Kluyveromyces lactis: one gene and its partners. Each later gene encodes a partner of the first gene's protein in a complex. Links are inferred from orthologs where the notes say so. Each region holds a gene or a part of one and is shown in the gene's direction. Other genes may lie near its edges.

Region 1 (4,504 bases):
AGTTGCAATTCAAACAGGACTTGGGTTATTTCTAATGCAAAGGTTTAGAAAATTGGGAAAGAAATGGGTGAAACGAGATATTGCCGATTTTCCTAGTTTGAATAGATTCAGTACCACACACGGTGATATGTACATGACTAGACATATTCCTGTTCAATTCGGGGGAACACATTCTTTCAATATTCGAGTTGGTACACGTACCGGTTTTTGGTATTCAGAGAGATTTAGAACTATTAGACGTGTTACTTATTTATTAGCGGGGACTCTAATACTCTCGCAGTCTATGTTAGAGGTTTCAAGATTGACCCTTCTCAAATACGATCCCTGGGTAGAAGAAGCAAAATCAGTTCGTGAAAAGCAGTTTTTCAATGACATCGTCAAATACTATCACGAGGGAGTTGATTCAACGAAATTCAAGGCCAAGGATGAATTATCAGGACAGTCAATTTCCCTTAACTTACCAGAGGTGAAGCAAAGTATCGCCGTAGCGAGAGCACAAGCGCAGGCCGAGAATTTGGTAACTAAATGGTTCGGACCGTTGGATTATAAACCACAGTCATTCTCTGAATTCTTAGACAAACTAGAATACTACCTGAATATGACTGATTTTCTCAACAATCTCAGACGTCAAAAGAAGAACGATAAGATAAATTCTCAATTGGTAAAATTAGAAGAAGAAAACAAGCGCAATAGACAGAGAATACATACATTGATGGCTCATGCTCCGGCACGGGCTATCAGAACAAATCAAGAAGTGCAGGACATATATGCAATTAGAAAAGTTCTCTTGCATCATGATACAGAATCACCAAATGATATCCCACTAACTGAAATATGGGCTATTTACAATCCTTGGACAAATTTAGCATTAGACACCGCATTAAGCATTAAGTTCTTTCCTTCGGTCATTTTTAATGAAGACTATTATGAACACCAGAAAAGACTCAAAGATTCAGAGCATGTTACTTCCATAGAGAATAGCGAAGATGAGAGAAAGCCATAATTGAATATCATACACGTTTGTATTACACTAACAGAAAAAATAACTGACTCAATTCATGATTTCAAACTGTATATAAGAATCGTTGTACAAATTTAATCGATATATAGCTATATCGAGACTCTCATACTGCCTTTTTTTTGTTTCCTTGTTTGTGTTACGAAAGCTACGACATATTTCCCACTGTAGTAACCATTTTTTACTACGATTATTATTATTATTTCAAAGAAACCAACAATAGCCTTCGAATAAAATAAGCCTAAACTAGTGTCCAAGTAAAGAATTAGTTAAAGTTTATACACTGGACCTTCGATCTTGCCATAACGGAATCAAATCATGTTAACCCTTATATTTACGTTGTGGGTACTTCTGCTTAAATCCACAGGGGCTGTATTTAATGATGAAGCGTTTCACGTGGATTGGCAAATCGAAAACCTAGGTGATATCAAATGTATTGACAAATCAGACTCGTCATTCGTGGTCTTAGGGGAGACTCCCACTGGCATCCCTGTAATTTCACTTTTGGATGCGGCTTCAGGAAATATAGTTGAAAGGTTCGTTCAGGATGCCTCTGTTGCTGCCATGAAAGTTGTGGATGGAAATATACACTTGAATACTGGTCAAGTTTTGGATAGTTTGACAGGTTTCCCTAAGTCAACTCATTCAGGCCAAGTTGAATGTCGGAAACTAGACATTCAATCTGTTACCTTGAATAACAATACACTGCGTTTTAATATTTCCTCTTCAGAGGGGGATGTGGTAGTCAAAATTCCAGAGACCTTCAGAAAGATAGAATACTTTGGCCTGAGCAGTGATAGCACAGTAGCGGAAGTATTGATATCTACAACTAATAAAGAATATTATTACACTAGATACGAAAATCATTCCCTGACTGCCCACTGGGAAAGAAATGAGGGCTACTCTGATATTATCGCATATACTGTCCTTGATGAAACAAATCATAATTTAGACTTTGTTAGGGATGAACTGCTCCACGAACAGCAATTGAGCCTAATTGACGCATATAAGTTCCGTGTTCAAAGTAATTGGGAAAGACTAAAGTCGTATCTTATCCGTAAAAGATTTAATCTGGGCAGAATGTTTGCCGATTTGATAACTGAAGATGATTCTTCAGCACTGCGAGATCTAAACGTACGATTTGGTTTTGCAAAGCAGCTTGTCGTCGCTTCTAAGTCAGGAATTATAACATCTCTGGACATCATCTCTGGAAAGAAATTGTGGAGTCTGCAGTCAAATTTGAAGGACATTTTGAAATTGCGCCTGAGGAGTGAAAACGAGCTTTCGATTGTTACGCGTTCTAGTATTTATTCTGTTAATCTCTTAGAGCAACCGCTCGGATTGACACCCGAAAATAAGGCTCCCGACGGTTTTCAATTTGATGCGAACAGTGAATCACCTATTATCAAACTAGTTAATGTCAAAAACAGTTCTTTCAAGATATTCAACGCTTCCCACATTGGAAATACTAATATTAGTTTCGTCCATTTTGAAGAGCAGAAAGTAACAGGGTATGCCCTTCAGGGGGATGCCCTCTTACCGACCTATCAGAGAAACGTAGGGGGGAATGAACGTATTGTTGGTCATGCTGTCAGAGATAAAGGCCACGTTCCAGGTTTAGGTGCAATCCTAGGAAACAGAACTGTATTATACAAGTACCTCAATCCTAATATTGGAGGCTATTTGATGGGCAATTCTGTAGAGAATTCCTTGTTACTAGAAATATTTGACACGGTTACTGGCCAGACTCTTTACACTGTTAAGCATGAGGAGTTTGTGGACTTAACCTTGCCAGTAAACCTTGTGATAGGAGAACACTGGTGCATATACAGTTATTTCAGTTCAGCTCCAATACCGGAACAAAAGCTTGTAGTCGTTGAGTTTTACGAATCGCTGGTTCCTGATGAAAGGAGATCCCTTCCAGGGAGCTTAGTGAACCCGCTAGACGATATTGTGAAACCGGCAACGATTAGCAACGCATATTACTTCCCTCAGATCATACATTCACTTGCATTATCCAAAACTAAATTTGGAATTACTACGAAAGCTATACTTTTACAATTAGATGATGGGTCCATTACATATCTCCCCAAATATGTTGTCAACGCAAGAAGAAAACCAGAGTCTGATATGACAAAGAAAGACAAAGAGGAATTCATGGCTTCTGTTTATGAACCCACCATACCAATTAATGATTTTTCAGTGGTTAGTCATCTTAGACAGATTCTTCCTTCAGATAAATCGAAATTAATATCAGTTCCGACGAACTTGGAATCCACTAGTATAATATGCTCCATCGGTAATGACATCTTCTGCACAAGGGTTTCACCATCTTCTCAGTTTGACAAACTTGGAGCAAGCTTTGAAAAGAGTAAGGTTCTTTTCACCATTATGGGCTTATTCATCTTATGCTACATCCTCAGACCCATGGTGGACCAGCGCAAGTTGAAAGTGAAATGGTTGGTCAAAGACCTTGATATTACATCTATTTGAATACATGTATAATTCTAAAATATCTGAAAGTTGCATTTGCATCGCATTTTATATGTATTTAATCTTTTGTTTGTCACCTTCAAAAGTTAAAGGCAGACCCTATTTTCAATTAATCTTTTTATTGAATGGCTAATCTCACATATTATTTTTATATCTAAATAGAAAAGTGAATGTACTTCTTGATCCAATTATAACAATAGATCAGTCTTGGGTTGGGAAAGAAGCCATGAGCTTCGATTTTCTAAAAGTTCTACATCAAATAGATCACTATAATTGACTAAACTTTCGAAATGAAGTTCACTACTGGCCTTTCTGTTTTATTGTTCTTTGTATTGCAAGTTTTTGCAGAAAAGTTGACCGAATTAGTTGTTGGAGTGACCAAGGAGCCTGTTGATTGTAAGATCAAGGCATCTAAGGGTGATGTTGTCTCTGTGCACTACACTGGTAAATTGAGGGACTCTGGTGAGATTTTTGACTCATCGTATAATAGGGGAGTACCAATTCAATTTAAGTTGGGTTACAGTCAAGTTATTAGTGGATGGGATCAAGGTATTTTAGGAATGTGCATCGGTGAGGGCCGTACCTTACATATTCCAAGTGAATTAGGGTACGGTTCTCGTGGTGCTGGAAGCGTAATCCCACCAGATGCAGACTTAATTTTCGAAACCGAACTTGTTGATATTCAAAGAGAAGCTGTTGACGATGAGTTATAGTAACGGATGTAAGAATCCTATGACTGGTACCATTTACTCCTATTAGATATATCGTCTATGTTTCAAAGCTCATATTATCTTTAGTACTATTAATAAATATCTAATTAGATGCAAATTCGGAAAGACGCAGTTACTCCGAATAACTACTTCGATACAAATGTAGATCATATATCCGAAAACAGATGTTGTGCAGTCGGTTGCAAGTTTTCGAAAAAGTCCTGGAAGAAATCTTCGAAACTATTGAAACGGTTCACATCTGGAATGCTGAATGTTTGTGGTA
Region 2 (2,998 bases), on another chromosome or scaffold:
ATGTCCTCATTATCATCGAATTATCCGGATATTTATCTGATTCTGTTACAGGCTGAAAGAGTCGTGCAAGCACTTTTACAAACGTAAGCTTCCTGCTTTGACTGTAAGGAAAAATACCTGAGATTCTGTGGTGAAACACCTACTCAACTTGGGTACTTCCTCCTTCTTGTCGTTGCATCATCACTAAAATACTGTTTGAGATAGCACTATTGAGATTGAAGAAAGTGTTAACGTTACAATCCATTACAGATAACTAACATCGACACGACTCCGCAAAATCACACACGAATACACTTATCAGAGTAATCCATACTTTTTCCAATGGTTTTTATCCATCCTTTCTTGAAGAACAACTAAAGGGTTTTAAACGGGATACCACCCCTCGCACGTACCGTTAGCCATTCTTGATATGTTTTTCTGGTCTCTGAGGTCTAAGCTTAAACAATAATAAAGTTAATGTTGATATATCCAAGCTTATACATGTAATAAATGATAAATTCATTAAAATCATTGACAATTTGTTACTATGAAAAATTGAAGCTGACCTTTGGATATTGAAACCTACGATCTGGCAAAAATGTGTCTGCCATTCATTTTCCACATTCTATCTTGACAAATTAGGAAATTCTTAACATAAATGAAATTCGAAAAGTAATGAAAGCCATCCCTCTTCAACAATGTCTGGGTGTTTCAGAAATTAGACAGTCCCGAAATTACTGTAGAACTCCACGGTTGTTAGATTGGCGAACCTATGTCAACAAGAGAGAAAGAGAAAACTATACGGCGCAAGTTTCTGTATATATCATCTATTGAACGTTTACTAGATGGATAAGGAGGGAATGAGATGTCGGGCTGTATGCATATGAGTAATTGGTCCTAGACGAACAATGTTGGAAACATCTTTCGCAGTATAGATCACTCCATTAAACATTGACAGCCATTTTCAAACTGAAAGCTTTAATCTCGAACCAGGTTGTAGAGAAGATATTGTCTGGAGAGTCACAAATCCACTACAATAATACCTGTTCTGAGGAATGTACGCTTTCTTATGACCTGATCAAAACGGACGTATCTCAACTTACTGTATAGTATTGTTTATAATAATGCATCTTATTCTCATCTTTTATACTAAATTTTCTTGAACGAACAAAATGAAAAAGTTCAAAAGTCAGATAAATCCGGGTAATAATATTAGTAACTATTCTTTCTTCTGGAAATGAATCTCGAATGGTAACTAAGACGCATAAAGAAGTTAATGATAACGGTAAAAACACTATACTCTGAGACTGAACTAACGTATGGCAATTAGTTTACTCCTCCAAAGAATCGGGGATGAATTTTGTACTTTTTTGCTTTCTAGTTTGGCAGTTCGTAAACCCAGGTGCTGCATTCGATATTAAGGGCAGACTAGATTTGAAAGTTAGGAACGTTTCGAGACATGATATATCGAGAACCTATTTTAACCTGTACAGGATACGGAATCCCAATGATGACTCGGAATGGGATTCATATTCACAGTCATCAAAATTGGAGAATATCAATGGTGAATTCACCTTCAGCGATGTTCCCATTGACACTGGTATCAATAGGACGACATACTTCACATTACATTCGCATTCCAATGAATTCAATTTGAAACCCAACAGAATACTGATACAAATTGTAGGTAACGGGCAAGATCAGGAACCTAACCTCAGCGCCTTTGAGAACAGATTTGGCAGAGAGTATTTCCCATCTCCAGATATTACATATCCCGAAACTTTGAATCCATTACCCTTGGATTCTGCAAACCGTTTAACAATAACAACGATGAACAAACAACCATACAGAAAATATATAAAGATAAGAAATCCTGGAATCCTCGAGAGTGGTCCCATTGCCAGTGTTTTAAGATCAAAATTCAAGCTAGCAGGCGTCGTGACAGTGATATTTTTAGTTTTGTTCCCTATTTTGTTGGAGAAGTTCGATCCTGAGACTGCTAAAGCTATGAGACAAGAGAAGATGCATAGAGAGAACGCAAAATATGTTTCAAAATAGCTTTTTCGTTGAATGGTGTATGTATTACACTTGTATAAGTTACGAATATCTTGCAAATCTTATTCATCTTTTGCACACTTTCCTAGTTTTTGTACTTTATCTATGAAAAAAATAAACAGCTAAGAAATTAGGGAAACAGCTTGAGAAACAAACGAACAAACACTTATCATAGTAAGGGCGAAAAAAACCCAAAATACGTTCACTCACTTATAGATTAGTTGAATTTCTGCTAAGAAAATATTATACTAGGGAATGACGTTTGTAATATAATGATCCAGGAGTACGTTACATTATTAGCTCAGGTGCTTAACTTGGTTCCAGAGGATGATTCTGATCTGATATCTATTTTATGTGATATTTGCAATTCTTACGAAAATACAGCCTCTAAAGATGAGCTATATACATACACAACGTTTGAAATAAGCCAGAGGTTTAATAACATCGAGCCAACGGAATTGAATTTTGTATATGATGACACATCGAAGTGGGAGAAGCTTTTATCTCATCAGTCATCGGAATTGAGCTACATTATCGCTTTGCATATAGTATTATGTCTCATTGAGAATTCAATAGTGAACAAACAAAGTTTTGCAAAACATCCAGCCATGAAATCGTTTGTGAAAGCCCGCTTACGTGGAAATGAAATGGATCCTTTGTTGAACGCAACTTTCGGAGAGTTGTATTGCCACGTCTTTGCCATTCAAGCTAACGCTGAAGATATACGATTTGTATACGAAAACACCTACCCTTATGATTGGAATATTGTCGAAAACATTGCAAGCCAGATAACCGATCAGTCTATGCAAACACATTTGCTATTTGAAAATTGTTACCTAACATTCGCAAATCTCAAAATTCCTAACAGCTTCACACTTCAAGTCACTCTAGAATTATTGAACACTACTTCGAATAGAGTCATCACCTTAGGGAAGAACACTTACCTAGAAATCAGGGACACCCA
Region 3 (3,006 bases), on another chromosome or scaffold:
CCAATCGCTTCCGAGGCTGAATTCAATTCCAAGTCAATTAAAAATAGCAGATTTCCCGTTTCATCTACTACAGGCGCTCTCCATAGAAATAGATCACCAGGTTTGATCGATTTCCCGGTGGGTGATTGTATAAAGTCCGAACCAATCAATTTCTTAAGACTAGATATGAAGTCTCCAATAAACCTTTCTTCTACTGTGAGCTCAAAGAGGGTAGTTTGAGAATCCAGTGGTTCAGCAGCGTGATACATCAATTGACGCCTATCCTTCGCACTATTTTTAGGTTTTAATAGGTATATGCCATGATCAAGTACAGTAGCCGAATACCTGTTGAATATATCAAGGGCAGGACTCAATTTGCTGCCGCTTCTATGGCATATTATGTTGTGTTCAGATAATTGACCAAGCAACGGATTGAATGAGCTAAGTTCACATAACTGTGGTAGAAACAGTCTCAATTGGTACTTGCAGGATTGTATTTCTCTAACTTCAAGATGGAAAGGCCTCGATAGTGGACGTTTAGGGCAGATGTATTGTATTTCTACCTCTCTTGGTTTATGTGTAAGATCACAAGTGCAACCATCTACCAAAGTTTCGCTAAGATACACTCTACCAGTTTTACTCTTAGCAAAGTGATAATCAATAGTTGAGTTGTAGTTAGATGAGTTCCCTAAAAGGTACGTTTCGCCAAAATAACCTTTTTGCACAACAGTCCTCGTCTCACCAGAGGATATAATATAAGTCCAGTAAGAAATAGGCACTGTATTCATTTCAATAGGGTTTGGAGCCAAGATCGCATTAACCATGTTAACTGCTTCAATGAGAGCTCCTTCAGAATTAAAAGTATCTTCTTCATGATGTTGAATCAACGACGAAGTGTTCCTTTGGTAACACAAAACATCGGACCCTTCGTAGGGGCGGAAAAGCCGTCCTTCTTGGAGCAATGTCTCATTATCTATTACACTTAGGAACTCTTGCTCATCAACGTATTTTAGCGAATAAGGCGTAGAGCTATATGGATTGAATGCTGAGACACCTGAATAAATCCATGAGATAGCAAACACCACCGACGTAACTGGTAAAAATATCATATAAGGCGGCAGATACACTAGCTACAATCAACCTCTGACGAATTGACAACAATGCGCCAACAAATAATAGCTCCGTATATCATTTTTGTACTTTCCACTAAGTAAACTTAAACGTTTGTAATATAAGAATCCAATTAATCGAATTAATCCAATTTTAAACCTTAAACTGAATAAATGTAATAATAAAAAGGATGAATCTCACAGCATAGACTGGTGTTTCCATCATATAACACAGCGGAAAACTGGTTGGATTTATCTTCAAATAATTAGCTATGCTAAAAATGATTCAATTGTTACTAATACTTCTGTTTCACTTGCGTGCGGTAGTGGCATCTCTACAAGGTACTGGTGATCTTTACTTATTGAACAATTTGAATGAAAGGTACAGCCTGGCAACTTTCGAAGCTGGTGATGAGGTAGGTATTAACCTGGCTGTGACAGCCAATCGAATTACAGACGGTGAATATAAAGTTTGTGGGACTTTTCAAGATTATTACGATGAGTGTTTCTCTTTCATCCATATAAAGCAACCATTGTCATACGAACTGGAGCTGGTGGTACTTGATGATAAACTAGTTCGTATGTCGATTCATGCAGATGATAGTATTGATGGCATCGTACCACTGATAAAGGAGGTTGGAAATGGTCCCATACCGGAAAGTATCAAGTTGAAGAAAAGAACTCTGACTTACGAGGCAAAGAAAAAAGCTCAGAGAAAGGATACAGGGACCGCTGCATTTGAAGAAGATGTTGTAGAGAACAAAACGTTTCTTCAGAAAAACTGGAAGTACGTTGTCATAGGGCTACTCGCCTATGTCTTTTTATCCAGTGGATCACAGAAATAATTTCATGTTTTACCATCTTGCTACGTATATATACGTTCAAGAAGACAAAGAAATGACCAGACGACTGACTTTTATTGCTTGGATAGGATAGGAGTGGTTGAAACATTCAATTAACTCTACGAATACGAAATGTATTACAATTAGTGACATGGATTATTTTGATGAGCAATTTGCCTTGAGTTTATTAATTGAGTGCTCGATGGAAAGACTGAAGTGAAAGATTTACCAATGTTGGCTTTTTAAAAGGATCGAAACTAAGCAACTCCATTACTCACTTCTTATCAACAATCGATCATGCTTTTCTCATTTGCACTGTAACACTGTAGTTGCTGTTACGATAATTCACTTTGCACTTGACTTTCCAGTCAATTAGACTGCCAATCAGCTTCACGATATCATGCACAGTAGTGTTTACTACCAACTCGATAGAACTGTATCCCACTTCACATCTTATTTAATTTATTTACCTGTATATCGTCATAAACAAGTAATGAATGAATTTAAAACTGTTGGGCATTCAATCGTAAACCTCACATCAAACAGTATAGAAAAAAAAGGGAATCCTTAAAAGCCAACCATATCCACATAGCTGTTAGTTTTCGCGGCAATGCAGTGGCATATCAGTGATTACATCAATCCGGTGACGGTACAGAGGTATCAGACTTTGGTTACATCTATCTTGCCAAAAGCAAAAGTATCAAACGATATATCGCTTTCAGGTTCACATTTATTGTTCTTCCATCCAGTAACAGCTGCCCTCAGCGAAGACGGATACTACTCGTACCAGACTCCTGGTGCTATATTGAAACGTGAAGTGCCCTTTCGGCGTCGCATGTGGGTTCAGGGATCAATTGAGTTCAAGAAATCACTGACAGATGGCTGGTACAATTGTCAAGAAGAACTTAAATTCATCAAAGAACTGAACAAAGACCATTTCGTAGGGTTGAAGAGAACTATACGAGACGAAAAGGGGTACCTATATGTTAAAGAGTTAAGAACGTTGATATATACTAATCAAAAAGTCTCAGATAAAGTAATAACCAAGTCCGAAGATTACAGTACCCGAGAAATCA
Region 4 (3,213 bases), on another chromosome or scaffold:
TCTTCCAACTTGGAGAATTCGCCAGTTTCTTTGTCAGCTTCACCTTGTAATTCTTTCGCACGAGCTCTGATGGCTTCTTCAGACATATCAACGGCCCAGTCCTCATCCTTGACTTCAATGGTAGCCAAGTTAGAGGCAGCGGCATTAATTTGTCTGGCCAATTCATCATCATCGGAATCGTTTTCTTCGGCATCGTCACCAGCTTCAGCTTGGGATTTACCTTGAGCGATATCACTAATAGAAAGACCACCACCTCTGACATTAGCAGACGCAGTGGCAGCCTTCTTCTTTTTCTTGGAACCGTTCATACTGTCAGGAGGGTTCTTTAAGACGAACGAGGACAACTTATGTCTCAAATCCATAGGGGTTCTCTTACCACAAGCTTTACAGTCTCTAACCAAATCACCATCTTTAGTGATAACAATTTCAGTTTCAGGATTCTTACAGGATCCACAAAGGACAAACTTAGTGATGAAACCATCCAATACGTCCTGTAATTTGGCTGGTTGATGAGCACCATTGACAATGTAACGATCATTTTCAACATTGATAGCAGTTTGGGCACCCAATTCAAACCCGAAATATTTGATGATGTATGGAGCTGGTCTGTTTAAAGCACGGGCAACATCCATGGTATTCATAACAACAGTTTTGATACCATTACCTCTACCTTCAATCTTAGCCTGAATTGGAGGCATTTTATAACGGTAGAAAGGGTCATTGTTGTCTCTGCAAATATTGATTGACATCTTCGGCTACTGTTACTAATCTCTAGTCACTTGTTTCTGCTACCACCGTGTCTTTGACGTTCTTCAAGTCTGGAAAACACAAAAACTTTTAAAAGTAAGTTCGAACTGATCCTGTATTGGACTGTAAAACGGGGTCATTAACGCCTTCTTGAATCATGTATATGGAAGAAGTTCATCTCATCTCTTAGAAGTTCAACTTCAACTCTTCGCGTGTGGCAATCAGATACTGAGGCCTTGATTCCTGAAAAATTTTCGTCGTTTATGGTGATATGAAAATACATGTCGAAACGGAGCATGTGTCACGTGCTTTAGCTCCAACGATTCATTTGGCTCTGTGATTGTTTAAGCATCGGTTCTGTAAGAGACATATTACAGGGTATAACATGGGTGAGATACGTATGGTGGTGTTAAATGTTTGAATACCTTCAATACAATTACTGCTCGTGGAATTTAGTGAGTAATTTACTGTGTTGAAATTGTGCTCGAATCTCACATACATCTTAGGGTCGAAATCTAACTTTGTTCATATCATGGATTTACTTAAGAACAAATTACTGGCAATCCATAAGACTGGCGCATGGGCCATTCTGCCACCTAAAGAAATTGATTTGGCTTATAAGGAAACGAAACTTTTGATAGATGCTGGGTTAAATGGGCTTGACGAAATTAGTTATTTCTCAATGGTCGAATTATTGTTTTATCTTTGTCTTGTTCGTGGTGAAGACACAGAGGCTGAAACATTGTACAAAACTGTGACAGATCGTCTAGGTGACGATTCTCCAAGAATTCATGTGATGCACTCTATGTTAATACAGGTCACTCGATCCGATGATGCGGCTAAGAAATATATCGAGGATTTGATCAAGAATCAGCTGGAAATAGCTACTGATTCAGAAGACTACGTACAGATGAAGAAAAGGCTACTTGCGATAGAGAGACCTTCGATGAGTAAAGAAAAATGGGTAAAAGAACTACTGGATCTGGTTGAGAAGTTTCCTCTAGATGCAGAAATATGGTCGTTACTTTCGCAAGAATACCAGGAGGCTGGGGACCTACGTCAAGCAATATATTGCATGGAAGAAGTCATAATTGGGGTGCCGTTCAGTTATGAAGCATTTGGTCAATTAGCTTATTTGCATTACTTGAAGTCTCAATCAGATTCTGACCCTGAAGCTGCTTTGCAATCAAGTTTATCAAATGCGTTGAGATCTGTTGAGTTGGCAGAAGCCTACGTGAAAGGTTGGGGTATTGTATTGAAGACATCTCAGAAACTGAATAAAAAACCTGAATTAACTCAATTAGCTGTAAGAAAATTGCAAGAACTTCAGCAAAATAATGATAACAGAGAAATCACTAACGTATCCAGATACCTTTTGGATTCAGAAACTTGAATAGTGTGTATATAATATTATCACATGTATTACGAGATTTGTATATTATTCCTTTTGGGTAACATAATTAAATAGGTAGATTCATGAATGAGCAAATCAACTCTTTCTTGAATTTTCCAAAAGTGCTGTCAATTCGACAGTAGCGGTGAGTGCTTATTCGACAACTTCTTCTATATCTTCTTTTTTCCTCAATACTTCACATACGCGCTCCTTCAAAGGTAATACAGACGCAACCCAGTTGCTGTCTCTCAAAGATTTCTTAGGATCGTTTGAATTTAATCTACATTTATTCAATACTGTCTTGTAATCATCCTCCATATATTTCCATTCCCGTACAACAAGGTCCTCATTGAATTCGACATATATTCTTGTATCAATGATTTTAAACAAGACCTCATCGACTCTTAGGAAGAATCTGCATAATAAAAGAAGTCTCTCTGCCATTACCCTAAGTTTTATCGAAAGCATACTGATACCGTTGTCTGCCAATTCATCTTCAAATAGAATGAAATCATCATAGAATAAAATGGGATCTCTTCTTGTTAATTTTTCTATTGGAAGCTGATACTGGTTATCCACAACAAACTTGTATTCACTATCTTCTGACACAGTCCCATTGTATAAAGTCGTATAGGACCAATCCCAATGTTTTCCGAATTGTAATCCTTCCTCTGTGTTTGTCACTTGACTATTCTTAAGTTTGGAATTGATCCATTTCTCGGAATATGACACTCTTAACCCAGAATCCCCAAGTTTTACTTGACTAAGTGCATGGAACGGATTGAATCGTATGCACCAATGAGTCTTGGTGTTCTTCAATTCAACGCTGGAATGACCAAAAATCATTTCTGGGATTGGGAACTTCAATTTCTCAGTCCAATCGTCGATCTCATCACTAGAAAGAATAGGCCTCTTCGTCGTGGTGATAGTCCAATCACCTACACTTACAGATGGGTCATCTTTCGCTGGTATTGTGGCTACAGGGGATGGAACAATGACTGTACCGCAATGGCCACAATTTGGATTATTCGGATTATTCGATCTATGTGGGTGTGTATGAGTGTGCTTATGAT
Region 5 (2,937 bases), on another chromosome or scaffold:
TGGGTGATATCAAATTGTTCCTACCAGAAACTGATAACAATGTCCTATTTTATGCCACTGTGTTGGGCGGCTTATGCACAGGCGGCATACAGTACAACAAAGGCCAGGACAGACAAGCCGTGACACAGTTAATTCTTCCAGAGTTAGAAGATCTTTTCAAGAAAATGAATCTTGATTCTGATCAGATATATACTCAACTACTAAATGTAATACAGCTATTAAACACAGAAGAATGGAATTCCAGTGAATCAAAGGATGTCATTTTTAATATCAATAAAACAATAACAAAACGATTTGAAAGCTCTCCAGTGGTTTTGAGCAACGCAAATGCCATTACTAAAACCTATAAGAGTTTAATTCCATATTTGGCATCCCTTCAAATACCAGAGGTAACTGGTTATTGGAAGTCATGTCTGATTAACGTGACATTATCATTCAAGAAGTTTATGGAATCATTTGACATAAAATCTGATAATTCAATAACAACATTATATCTGCAATATGTTAACAAACTTGTAATTTTGGGTAAGGAGTTCGCAATTGAAATTTCAGAAACGCTTTTGGATGACATTGTTGAAAAATTCTTGAAGCCGTTGAGTGAATTACTACCAAAGATTGATTCGGATGCCATATCTGTCCTAGATTTTAAGCTTTTCACCTCAATAGTTACTTGGAATTTAGCAACTTGGAGAGATGTTATCAAAAATAATGAAGAACCTATAGCTGTTTCACATACTACGCTGAATCAAATTAGAACGGTATTAGTCGAATTGCTGAATCTTTCTTCAAAGATCGATTCTAACCCTGAAATACAACACGACAAGAAATTCCATGTGCTTCATGTAATACTCTCTCCATTGTTAGATATTATCATTGCATTCAAAATGTTTGAGCTCGATTTGTCAGAAAAGGATTCCGATTGGATAAGGGCGTTAAGGCAAGAATATTCAGTTATCTCTAACGAAGATCTAACTGGTATTTGCCACAAAGTTTTCCTCTACCTTGAGAGTTGTCTTGGAAAATTTTTGGGAATAACTCTAGATCGAGTGGCTGATGAAGATGTAAATTATGGCGCTGTCAACTTAGTCGATGTTGATGGAGATCCAGAGAAGGAGCTTTGTATCTATACCATTAAATTGAAAGGCCTCATCAAACTTGGAATTCTAAACTATAGCGATTTAACTACAAGAATTGGGTTAAACCAAGAGAAATTAGGGCCATTATTTGAGAGTGTAGTAAGCGAAACGGTTTTCGAAGATGAACCGAAAAATAACGCTGAGAGCCATCCTGCAGCCAAATTAAACCAAGAACCAGTACCCCAACAATATGATGAAGTTCTTGAACCAATTGAGGAATTCACTCAGGATGAAACAGTTCATTCGCCTCCGCACCCTGCAGACCCCATTGTTTCATCACCAATCTAATCTTATTGGGGATCCTACGAAATGAAATTCCTGCGAGTGCATTTAAATCAGTTTATTTTTTTTTTTGGTGAATTGTGTTAAACATAATACATAAAACCTATTACATGGCTATCGATAACCTAAGCTCTCCTCAATCATGCGGCTGTGTGTCAGTACTGCATGCTATCTCTCTTTTTTACCTAGATAGTTTCTCTTGTCGGAAACTCTATAACACTCAGAAAAAAAAAAAAACGGAAAGGTTATTCAAGAATACCAAACAAAATATAGGTAGTATAAGGTTCAACTGGACAGATCTAACATAAATAGGCTTTGTTACTTTACTTAAATACTACTATTCACCGTTTTATCTTGGAATCAACAATGTCAATACTTTCCAAATCATTCTACTTTATAGCGTGGATACAGATTATTCATTCTGGTGTGTCCAGCTATGAATTTCATCAGATTGTGAAACATATCATTCTAGAGAACCCAGACGCTAAAACTCCAGGTTTACCAGATGACGTAAAATTGGAGGCACTATGCGGGTTATTATTCTTTATTTTGGGTACATTTATCAGTCAATCCAAGCTTAAGTACCTTAGTATTCGTGGGGAGGAACGAATAATTGAGACAGATGAGTATCTTAAACCTATCGAATTGAACAAGGCGTCCAGTACAGATGTAGTGATAAACAATGATCCTTATGGGGAAATAAACTACCTTCCTTCATTTGTTGACATCCATGCTAAGAGGAAACTGTTCAAAGAATACCTTCATCGCAGTTTGTGAGTTGATAAAGATTGGTAACTTAAACGCATACATATATATAATATGTACTGGGGAATTACATAATATAATGACTTTGCAATAATAACTAACGGGAGTAGATACAGGGCCGATAGCCAATATAGGCACTTCACCAATCACATTAGGACGTCAGTTATCATTGTGATTGTACGTGTAAAAGGGATTTGGAGGATCCTGTGTACTCTGTGTACTATTTTGTTCAATGAATCGAGGATCTGATGATGCAGACTGTTTATATCGCTGAGGTGGCGTCATCTTATGCAATGAGTGTGATAAAATATCATTCCGTGTCGCACTTGGGTTAGAAATGCCTTCTATCTCTGCTAATCTACTCATTTTTGCAGATGATTTCAAAAGATCTTGATGTTGCGTCTGTATCTCGCGTTGGAGCTTGTACTCTTCTAAATGTTCTTGTAGCTCGGAAATATCATCGGAAGTCAAGGATAAAACTGTAGGATCACGCCTTAGCATAATGGTTGGTATTTATGCCGATTCTATGTTATAATTCTACGTTATGCTATATAAATTGACATCTTAAGAAACTTGACTGCTTTTGTGTTATTAAATTCGGTTGATGAAATATGATGCGAAAGGAAAAGCAAAACCTTCACATACTATTACAAATGAACGTATCTAACACAATATGACGCACATGCAACTCTAAGATCTCTTACTCGATACAACATTTTACCAAATCACTTAAAGAAGGAAGGAAGGAAGGAAT
Region 6 (2,823 bases), on another chromosome or scaffold:
TAGTCAGTTTATTAACAATAAGTACGCTTAAAATAAATATATGTTATTTGAAAACAAGATATCTATAGGAAGTTATCATTTATAAAACTTCGACGATAGCATCGTCATCATCGTCGGACTCTTCTTCTTCTTCTTCTTCTTCTATCTCGGCTATTTCGCCATCTTCCGCAGATTTGGCCACGATTTCTTCTATCACTTGATTCTCCGGCTCACCTCTCATCAACATGTTAACAATTCTATGAGATAATTCACCGATATCGTCATTTCCAATATTTTTATGTAACTCTCTGACCAATGGGTATACTGATTTCGATCTTAAGTATTCTCTGCCGGCTTTAGTGGTACAAAGCAATAAAATACTTTCTAAATGCACACATATGATTTCAGGAATAGGATCTCTCTCTTTGTCGGCAGGTAAGAGTTGCAATTCATCCGGTAGATTGAACATATCTTCTTCATCAATTTCGGAGTCTTTAGCTGATGCAATCGGTAGAAGAATATAAGGTAAAAGATTGATTTCCTCATTAGTCAAAAGGTTTTCATGCTTTTCGGAATCAAATAACGAATTCTTGATGGTATAAGCCACACCTTCTCTTCTGGTTTTAGCATCATACTTTTCAGTGAATACCAATAGTTTAGAAATTGGGATGACGCCGTCATACTCCTGCTGTTCAATGAAATACTCTCTACCAATCTTAAATCTCGAAATGTCGGCAAAGAAATAAGCTAAGTAGTCATAAGTGGCATATCTGTTCAACTTTCTATCGTAACCCTTCACAAAACAATCCATTAAGCAATCCATTACTTTGTTGCTTTTAAAGACTTCTATGTTTAATGGAATACCATCGTCTTCCTTCTTAACAAACGAAAACAATTCGGTAATATTGTCTTCCTTGGCGAGATTAGACAATAAAATACACATGATATCCGCACTTGCGTTAGCTAAATCACAGATTTTCCACGATAAGTACTGTAGGAATTCAGTATCCTTGACGATCAACTTTCTCATAGTAACATCATCACATAAATTCGCTAAAATCGTAGTGGATTGTTGAACGATAACTTTTGACTTATCTTTAGCTAGAACTTTTAGATCCTCTATAGCTTTGTAATTATTACATTTGAAAATGACAGCACTTGCTCCAGTTGAGAAGCCAACCAGATTATCAAGAGCAATCTGTCTGACGGCAGGCTGGTCTGAATGCAAAAATGACACTAATTCTTCTAATTCCGTGGACATCTTCCCTCTTTATCGTATCAAGTAAACGCAGATATTTCGAACAAAGATGTTTTATTGAACAATGAAAGTTATAGTTGATTAGCTGGTGAACAATACCTAGTTACACCAACTGCCAACGTAGATATGGTTGATGCGATGAGCTGCGATGAGTTTGTCAAACGTTTCTCAAGTTTCGTGAAAGAAAAGGTTCGACTCTTTAAGGCGGGTAACAATTACATCAGCATCAAACCGACAATAACAGATCTCCATCTTCAATTAAATGAATAGAACCACCGTTAGAAACAGAGCTTTTCAATCTGCGATTCGATTGATCCTTAAGTGCTGCATTTATCATAATAAATCACTTTTATTCTAGTCTTGGCTTATTGCAACCAATTGCAATCATAACTACGAGATAACAGCATTGGAAAATGAGTTATCGCTTCACCGACCTAAAGTCTTCCAAAAGTGGAAGTTTCAACAACAACAAACTACTACGGATACAGGATTCTACAATGCTGACAGCAGGACTTAGTGCTGGGATATTGCAACTTCAATCTTTTGCAGGTTTTGGAATGTTTTTTGCTGTTTATATCCTGGTGAACCTCATATTTATAGCGTGGTTTTGCAAATTCAAGCCTAGTCTATATTTTACTAATCCAGTGCATAAAATATGGGTTAAAAATCTATTCCGCGAGCTAGCTGGGTTTGTCATGACTTGGACGTTAGCGTTCACTTTGGTCAGGTAACGCATATGACACATTTTGCATTAACGGGTTGATTTCATCTGAACGATATCACCATTAGGATTCTAGAAGTACTATAATATTATGGTCATTAAAACTTATAGCAGAGATAAATATTTGCATGTATTATAAACAGGATGATGATAAACAATATGTACATTTAAAGGATATTAATTTATTAGGTAGTAATCTGTTCTCAACAACAGATTTTAGAAGATATTAAGATCTTCGTGAGAGATATCACGGGGATACAAAACGTAAGAAATGGCAATCTTCATCAATAGAATGATTTAGAAAGTGAACCAGTTATTAGGGAAAGAAAGCGTGGTTATCAAATGCAAATATTCGAGGCAGAACAATTTTTTTTGTCTTGCTTTCCCAAGTTGAGGCTGACATACATCTATATCTGAATTTTTTCCACCAAAGTTGCTAACTTTTCAACACTAGCCAAATGCCTGTTACCCAAAGTGTTATTTTTATTGGATTTATCCAAATAGGATCTGATGGAAATAACAATCAACCTCTCATCTTCACCAGTTGCGACACCCACGAGCTTTTGAACAACGTAGTTCGCGTATTGATCCCGCATCATTAGAATCAATGGTGCATTATCTTCCAAATCAGCGGCGTGCTCTTCGTCTCTTGGTAGAATTTGATCCAAAATCTGTCTTATCTGGTTTTTGGATCCGTAAACTACTGACTTTTCAACAACATTGGAGGCAAATTTGTGTTTTGAATATTCAACAACATTCTTACGAATGATATCGATGATATTTTGTTTACTCATTCCTATGTGACTGCTCGTATCTTCAGTTCCATGCTGTAAAATATGCTGAATTACGTAGTTACCGTATTGAT

The links.
Region 2: the proteins of EMC1 (region 1) and SOP4 are in contact, whole or in part, in a cryo-EM structure (PDB 6WB9), measured with the Saccharomyces cerevisiae proteins. The link is inferred for Kluyveromyces lactis from reciprocal best matches to the Saccharomyces cerevisiae genes EMC1 and SOP4. Residues at the interface, in NP_009884.1 of Saccharomyces cerevisiae: Val25, Phe26, Ser27, Asp28, Ala30, Phe81, Arg82, Asn83, Asp119, Trp120, Phe121, Leu122, Leu123, Glu125, Gly126, Val127, Glu500, Asp528, Phe529, Arg530, Phe531, Phe547, Ser549, Pro551, Val552, Pro553, Glu554, Ile599, Phe600, Pro601; in NP_012343.1 of Saccharomyces cerevisiae: Phe39, Val40, Ser41, Thr42, Arg43, Lys47, Tyr49, Ile51, Tyr58, Pro59, Thr61, Thr64, Met65, Phe66, Gln67, Asp68, Asp69, Glu74, Asn77, Val91, Tyr93, Ala95, Met97, Asn100, Arg105, Phe127, Gly128, Arg129, Glu130, Tyr131.
Region 3: the proteins of EMC1 (region 1) and EMC10 are in contact, whole or in part, in a cryo-EM structure (PDB 6WB9), measured with the Saccharomyces cerevisiae proteins. The link is inferred for Kluyveromyces lactis from reciprocal best matches to the Saccharomyces cerevisiae genes EMC1 and EMC10. Residues at the interface, in NP_009884.1 of Saccharomyces cerevisiae: His425, Phe427, Ile440, Glu442, Lys447, Thr449, Trp450, Lys451, Lys452, Ala453, Asn455, Glu458, Asn499, Glu501, His502, Ile513, Thr514, Gly515, Glu516, Ile517, Leu518, Thr520, Gln521, Glu522, His523, Lys524, Asp525, Pro551, Val552, Val558; in NP_010341.3 of Saccharomyces cerevisiae: Asp28, Glu63, Cys65, Pro77, Cys78, Phe79, Ser80, Tyr81, Met82, Lys83, Tyr90, Asp95, Asp97, Glu98, Asp99, Glu101, Lys103, Gln104, Val105, Ser106, Leu107, Ser108, Tyr109, Glu111, Arg121, Pro123, Glu124, Ala125, Gly126, Pro127.
Region 4: the proteins of EMC1 (region 1) and EMC2 are in contact, whole or in part, in a cryo-EM structure (PDB 6WB9), measured with the Saccharomyces cerevisiae proteins. The link is inferred for Kluyveromyces lactis from reciprocal best matches to the Saccharomyces cerevisiae genes EMC1 and EMC2. Residues at the interface, in NP_009884.1 of Saccharomyces cerevisiae: Ser749, Asn750, Leu753, Gln756, Trp757, Leu758, Ile759; in NP_012621.1 of Saccharomyces cerevisiae: Glu47, Gly48, Phe51, Phe52, Glu55, Leu77, Arg80, Leu81, Asn84, Ser85, Tyr86, Lys87, Met88, Asp122, Val124, Thr125.
Region 5: the proteins of EMC1 (region 1) and EMC5 are in contact, whole or in part, in a cryo-EM structure (PDB 6WB9), measured with the Saccharomyces cerevisiae proteins. The link is inferred for Kluyveromyces lactis from reciprocal best matches to the Saccharomyces cerevisiae genes EMC1 and EMC5. Residues at the interface, in NP_009884.1 of Saccharomyces cerevisiae: Leu248, Ala251, Tyr252, Arg255, Leu256, Asn259, Arg262, Lys295, Asn693; in NP_012237.1 of Saccharomyces cerevisiae: His18, Ser19, Phe21, Ser22, Glu25, Leu32, Leu35, Lys47, Asp48, Ile49, Tyr51, Glu52.
Region 6: EMC1 (region 1) and EMC6 share a complex: the UniProt entries of both Saccharomyces cerevisiae proteins name them as parts of the ER membrane protein complex. The link is inferred for Kluyveromyces lactis from reciprocal best matches to the Saccharomyces cerevisiae genes EMC1 and EMC6.

The regions. Positions count from the first base shown.
Region 1 is NC_006039.1:78,658-83,161, reverse strand, and holds EMC1 (Emc1p), read left to right. Parts: upstream 1-1,336; coding exon 1,337-3,511; downstream 3,512-4,504. Other genes in the region: MGR1 (Mgr1p), read left to right, coding at 1-1,003; peptidylprolyl isomerase family protein FPR2, read left to right, coding at 3,802-4,224; URC2 (Urc2p), read right to left, coding at 4,389-4,504. UniProt on the Saccharomyces cerevisiae protein: Part of the endoplasmic reticulum membrane protein complex (EMC) that enables the energy-independent insertion into endoplasmic reticulum membranes of newly synthesized membrane proteins.
Region 2 is NC_006038.1:665,557-668,554, forward strand, and holds SOP4 (Sop4p), read left to right. Parts: upstream 1-1,332; coding exon 1,333-2,037; downstream 2,038-2,998. Other genes in the region: KLLA0_B07623g (40S ribosomal protein uS11), read right to left, coding at 393-402; BPH1 (Bph1p), read left to right, coding at 2,307-2,998. UniProt on the Saccharomyces cerevisiae protein: Involved in the export of PMA1, possibly through the monitoring or assisting of PMA1 folding and acquisition of competence to enter vesicles.
Region 3 is NC_006041.1:1,123,033-1,126,038, forward strand, and holds EMC10 (Emc10p), read left to right. Parts: upstream 1-1,360; coding exon 1,361-1,933; downstream 1,934-3,006. Other genes in the region: YOS9 (Yos9p), read right to left, coding at 1-1,088; hydroxyacyl-thioester dehydratase HTD2, read left to right, coding at 2,541-3,006. UniProt on the Saccharomyces cerevisiae protein: Part of the endoplasmic reticulum membrane protein complex (EMC) that enables the energy-independent insertion into endoplasmic reticulum membranes of newly synthesized membrane proteins.
Region 4 is NC_006041.1:553,134-556,346, forward strand, and holds EMC2 (Emc2p), read left to right. Parts: upstream 1-1,279; coding exon 1,280-2,140; downstream 2,141-3,213. Other genes in the region: TIF5 (translation initiation factor eIF5), read right to left, coding at 1-749; TIP41 (Tip41p), read right to left, coding at 2,294-3,213. UniProt on the Saccharomyces cerevisiae protein: Part of the endoplasmic reticulum membrane protein complex (EMC) that enables the energy-independent insertion into endoplasmic reticulum membranes of newly synthesized membrane proteins.
Region 5 is NC_006042.1:2,570,902-2,573,838, reverse strand, and holds EMC5 (Emc5p), read left to right. Parts: upstream 1-1,784; coding exon 1,785-2,195; downstream 2,196-2,937. Other genes in the region: cohesin subunit IRR1, read left to right, coding at 1-1,424; anaphase promoting complex subunit CDC26, read right to left, coding at 2,343-2,684. UniProt on the Saccharomyces cerevisiae protein: Part of the endoplasmic reticulum membrane protein complex (EMC) that enables the energy-independent insertion into endoplasmic reticulum membranes of newly synthesized membrane proteins.
Region 6 is NC_006042.1:1,426,758-1,429,580, forward strand, and holds EMC6 (Emc6p), read left to right. Parts: upstream 1-1,650; coding exon 1,651-1,968; downstream 1,969-2,823. Other genes in the region: HGH1 (Hgh1p), read right to left, coding at 80-1,240; mRNA-binding protein PUF3, read right to left, coding at 2,366-2,823. UniProt on the Saccharomyces cerevisiae protein: Part of the endoplasmic reticulum membrane protein complex (EMC) that enables the energy-independent insertion into endoplasmic reticulum membranes of newly synthesized membrane proteins.